Yarrowia lipolytica: one gene and its partner. The protein of the gene in region 1 purifies or fractionates together with the protein of each later gene. This does not show direct contact. Links are inferred from orthologs where the notes say so. Each region holds a gene or a part of one and is shown on either strand. Other genes may lie near its edges.

Evidence for each region.
Region 2: the proteins of YALI1_E40361g (region 1) and YALI1_E18903g purify together in Saccharomyces cerevisiae (affinity purification with western blotting; 3 studies listed by BioGRID, with this or other methods). This does not show direct contact. The link is inferred for Yarrowia lipolytica from reciprocal best matches to the Saccharomyces cerevisiae genes QCR7 and CBP4.

Annotation. Positions count from the first base shown.
Region 1 is NC_090774.1:4,035,334-4,038,330, reverse strand, and holds YALI1_E40361g (uncharacterized protein), read left to right. Parts: upstream 1-1,686; coding exon 1,687-1,814; intron 1,815-2,160; coding exon 2,161-2,419; downstream 2,420-2,997. Other genes in the region: YALI1_E40327g (uncharacterized protein), read right to left, coding at 2,961-2,997. UniProt on the Saccharomyces cerevisiae protein: Component of the ubiquinol-cytochrome c oxidoreductase, a multisubunit transmembrane complex that is part of the mitochondrial electron transport chain which drives oxidative phosphorylation.
Region 2 is NC_090774.1:1,889,287-1,891,876, reverse strand, and holds YALI1_E18903g (uncharacterized protein), read left to right. Parts: upstream 1-1,570; coding exon 1,571-2,011; downstream 2,012-2,590. Other genes in the region: YALI1_E18918g (uncharacterized protein), read right to left, coding at 1-43; YALI1_E18895g (uncharacterized protein), read left to right, coding at 2,383-2,590.

The sequences.
Region 1 (2,997 bases):
AAATCTTCACAACACACAATTCCTACAAGTACAACTAACTACTCTACAACCATACACACTACAAGTCTCAAATATAGGGGATGGGACTCGATGGTCCAATCGTATTAACCCCGGAGGTTCGGCTGAGTACCAGCGTACGTCCTCCTAATACTATCTAATGCGAGTTGAGTAGTTCCTATCCTACAACTATCTCTTCTGTGTTTCCGACAGGGCAACGGGCTCTTTGCTTTCCGGATTCGCGACTCCTCTGTATAAAAGCGGCACGGGCAGCGTCTCGATTCTCAATGATCTAACGGGCTCTGGCTCTTGGCTATATCAATTTTGGCGGCTCTGGTCTTCTGTATCGGACTCGGGCTCTTTTTCTCCCTCTGTACTTGTACGGTTCTGTAACTAATTGGGGCTCCCACGGGCACTCTCGGACTCGGCTTCTCAGGCTCATACACACACATGGCTCTCTCTCGCACGGACACTCGGGCTCTCGCAATGGGTCTTTGACTCAAAATATCTCTCTATAGCGGCTCTCGTTGCTGGTGGCTCTTATAATCACTTGATATGGCGTCTTTCTAGATCTTGGCTTCCTCTGACTGGCGGTCTCTCGACGACTTGGCTCCCTATGGCGGCACATTCATTTCCAAACGGCTCTCTGCTCGGTCATTGTTAAGCGGCACTCCCCTCTGTAAAAAGTTCCGGCTCCAGGGTTTAGCATAGCTGAACTTCCTCCCCCTTGGTAGTCGGTCGAGATCACAGGCTCGAAGACGCGTCGAGACACGGGCTCAAGGCATTCTCTCTCTGTCGGTCGGTGGCACTTCTGCTCTGGCTCACAGGGCTCAGGCATCATATCGCTCTTCGCTATGGTAAGGTCATTTTTTAGACACATTCCCTTAGGGGCTGCAACACAGCTCTTAACCGGTAAACTCCCAGAGCGCAGCTTCTTAGCGACTCCAGTTGGGCATGTTCCCAAAGCACTCTGCTGACCACACTCGGTCAGGTAGTATTACGTCAGGTACGGCGGCCAAGCTCGTTCCTGGAAAGGCCTTGACAGGAGCCTGGTGCTTTTCAGCGGGCTCAGCACTGTCACAGAAGGACCCGACAACCGGTACAGTTGCCAGTCTGGCGGCGGAGGGATCGACTTCTGAAGAAGAAAAAGAAGAAGAAGAAGACAGCAAGAGCGCGATTGGGCTTCCTTATATACTTTTGGGACGTGGCTAGTCAGTAGACCTGAAGCGACAAGTGGGGGGGACACACCCGCCCTGCCATGCACCTAATCAACATTAGAGTTGAGAATGACACGCCTACCTCTTTGTTTTCTGGTGTGGTATCATTATCAGTGGACACTCATGCAGGCAAGGGATAAGGACGCTGGCTGCAGTCGATCCAGAAGGCAAAGGTGGCAGATGAGGACGTTTGACACATACGAATTGAGCAAAATGACCATGGTGCTGTATTCTCTTCGAAATTACGAGCCGAATGAGTGGAGTCAACATTTTTTCAGGTCACGTGCTTAGAACTTGTCCCAACACAGCGAACAGGGTTAGGGGAGACTTCCGCAAAACCTGCACACTGCATCCTCCCAAGCCCTCGGGCCATTAGCCAATAGAATAAGGACAAAATCCTGACCAGTGGAAATACACTTTGAGTGTAGAAAAGATCGCAGAGTGCACCAACTACTTACACAACACAGCAACCATGGCTTCAATCACCTCCGTCGTGAAGACTAGCGAGCTTATCCTCAAGTCTCCTCTCCTCAGCAAGATTGTTGTTCCTCTTGCCAAGACCTATGTCAAGTTCTCCGGATACCGACAGCTTGGTTTCAAGTGAGTATCAAGGAAAACAACGCCCTCCAGCGACACACCCCAACGACAGTTGCGCAGCATCGACAGTACGAGTGAATGGGAAAGATTATGGACGATTTCGGCTTTTGCGACACCAGTTTCAAGGCGTTTCTGCGTTTCTACGACACGCGAAATGTGCCCTTAAACGCGACGACGTAAGAGATATTTCAGGGTCAAAACACCATTGATACGGAAGTGACACAGCGACACTGGAAGACCACAAAAACCGACTCAGAAAGGAATCCCCCGACGCTCAACTGTAGATATTGCTGGAATTGTTGATTGATGGGTGTGCATCAACTTGTGCGTGAGCAAATACTAACCCCAGGATGAACGATCTGATCATTGAGGAAACCCCCAACATGCAGCTCGCTCTCCGACGACTCCCTCCCACCGAGTCTTACGACCGAGTCTACCGACTCATCCGAGCCACTCAGTTCTCTCTGTCTCACAAGCTTGCCACTGGTAACGACATCACCAAGCCTGAGGAGGACGACCACTACCTCATTCCTTACATCCTCGACGTTGAGGCTGAGGCTTTTGAGAAGGATGCTCTTGACAACCTCGAGGTTGTTAAGCGAAAGTAGGCATAAAAGCTCTAACAATACATGATTATTAGGTACGAGAGGGTAGGTATGGATGTCAGTACTTGTAGTCCGTGTATTGTATCTGGCACATGTAGTGTTGAAGATTGTAAGGGGTTTAGAACACAGAACGATTGGTGCGTATTGAGAGTTCTGTTGGCATTGACGCATTAATCTCTCTAAAATTAATGCCCCCGTTTGTGCTGACCAAATTGCTGTCTTTAGGGTCACTGTTGCGTGGTTGATTACTTATTACAAATGGGACGATTTTCACGCACTGTCCGAATCACCGATCATAATATTGGTCAATTTGTGTGAACAAAACTTAAATTTGTTTTAACCAAATTTCCAAACTAAGGATCACACAATTTAATGGAGAAATGACTTAGGAATAGGTAACTCGTTTTAGTCAGAGGATAGGAAATACGCCAGTTCCACACAATCATATCCTACTCCAACTACTTGTACTAGCTTGTAAATCGTTCACTTATCATCTAATGAATGTTAGCAGGCTATATAATTAATACCGTGGGGGAGTAAATGCTTAGAGTGATGAGAAGCCGTCCTCCATCACCTTGAGA
Region 2 (2,590 bases), about 2.1 Mb from region 1:
AACCCATTCTTATATCCGTCGTTGTAACTACCCCCCCCCACATGTCCCCACACTCAAGTCCGCCGAATCGAACAATAGAGTGCTGTTGTACATAGTATGTGTGTGTATACAGTTGTAAAACCAACTATGGAGCAAAAGGAGCAAAAAAAAGGAGCAAAAGGCGCGCGCAAAAGACACAGCAGAGTGTAGACCGCTGAGGACGGTTCTTATTGGAGAATAAGACTGAAAGTTGGCCAAGTTGTAGAACAAGTCGCTTTGGCCAAGTAGTTGGACTCGCAGACTGTTCTGCTGCGGGAGTCTGCTGCTCCATGACCATGTCCACCACCTCTTTTTTTTTTTTTTCCACCGGCAAATCCCCGACGTCGCTCTAACTGGTCCTGCCTCGGCACGAAAACAAACCGGAGCAAACACGGGTGAAAATAAGCTTTTCTGACTCAGTGATCCCGACCGCAGGCACAGAATCATATGGAACAGAGAAGCTAATAAACCGAAATTGAGACTGGAAAAGTCTTGTACAAGCAAGTTCGATCTTGTACTTGTAGCTAATGAGCTGTGTGTGCAGTAGGCATGGAGTGATTTTCATTATCGATCGAGTTGGAATAACGGGGAATTTGGAATCATTTGGAATAATTTGGAGGATTTGGGGGATTTGGGGGATTTTGGAATAAAATGGATGAAAATGGAAGAAAATGAATGAAAATAATTGAAAAATCAAAAAATCCATAAAATATATAAAATATATAAAAAACCCACTCAAAAGAACCCAAACCCCCGGCCAGCAAACTGTCCGTGTCTCATCGACTATCATGTCACCAATCACTCACCTAAAAATACAATAGTCCGTGGTGTGCATGACCAAATGTTCCACAGATGCACTTGATGAAACTAAGTACTTGTAATTATGAGTTGTATCTCGATTGGCGAAAAAATTGAACCCCTCAAACTCGAATCCGACAACTACATTCCTCACAATTACCAGCCCCTTCCCTCAAAAAGTAGGTTACTCACGACGATCTGCTTATGACGTGGACATTTCAAAATAAGGTTGGTCACGTGCCCTTTTGCCTAGGGTTAATGCAGCCCCAGGTTTTGCAGGTTGAATGCCCCCCACGCTAAAATCCGTCGAAATGGGGGGACGTCAGGTTATGAGTGGTACAAGCAGGAGTTTTCGGAGCTTCCAGGGAACATTTGAGATATAACAATAAGTCATATAAGCCATTCTTAAGCGAAGATGTTGGTGCAGAGGTTTATTTACTCTTATTTCGATATTTTTTTTGAAATATCTGTATATGGACCTTAATTGGGACGTGGTTGGGACAGATTATGACAGTGTCACAGATTATGAGTATTTGACTGCTAGATGAAACGTCAAATTAGCACCTAATTGCCAGTTTGAATATTATAATACCCCCAATCTTTCTTTTTTCTAAGCCATTCCAGACTGGTCATCCCTCCTCTTAACTCATAACCTGAGTGGGACAGGTAGTCTAATTAGGATTTATCACCTTGTCCACATTACCATCATCATCATTGGTCATAACCTCACTCACACGCTCATACACACACAATCATGAGATTAGAAAACTGGCCGATTGTCGAAATGTTCCGGTCGCGGCCCGGCGTGCCCAACTGGCCCAAGTTTGGTCTGTTTGCCGTCGGCGTCATCGGATCGGCATATCTGGGATACCGCTATGCCACTCCTTCCGAAGAAGATATTGTGCGACGAATGAACCCCGAGTTGCGAGAGCGATACATGCTGGAGCGAGATGCTCGGCAGGAGTATTTCAACGAGTTTGTCAAGGAGGCCATTGCCCAGTCCAAGACCAACGAGCCCATCTGGAAGGTTGGGCCCATGGCTTCCAAGCCCATTGATTTCAATGTGGCTGTGCGAGAAAAGATGAAGGAGATCGAGGCTCGAAATGACCAGGATCGAAACGAGCGAATCAAGAACGAGCTGGCTGCCATCGCCAAGAAGGAGGAAGAGGAAAAGAACAAGAAGGGATGGTGGTAGAAGTGGTGATGGTGGAAGGGATGCTCGACCTGTAATGGGTTGGGCTGTCTAAACGTGTAAAAGTGTACATAGCAAGCATAAATAATGAATTAAGCATTGGATTTTTGAATGGAGTCGGTGGTGAGGTTGGACATGGACGTTTTTTTATTTTCATTTTTTTCCTTTTTATTTATTTATCTATTTATTTATTTACTTTTCTACTTTAAATTTACTTAAACACCTACCTAACGTGAAACAGAATTAATTCAATAAAACTCTGCTTGGAAAAGTAAATTAAAAATGAATTAAAATTATGAAAATGTAAAAAAAAAAAAATCCGACTATTAACGTATTAAAAATTGATTTAGAAAATATTAAACAAAGTACACGTTATGAATCACGAGCACTTGTACAAGTACTTCTACTTCTGCTTCTACTTCTACGCTATGTTATCACAATTTATTTATTTTTGCCTGCATCTCACAATCCAACCCTTACCCTTATCACCCTGTACGCGAGATTTAGGTTCAGGCCATCTGACCACCCTCAATATACCGACTTGCACATCAATGGGCCAAACCGAGTCGAAACAGACGTTTC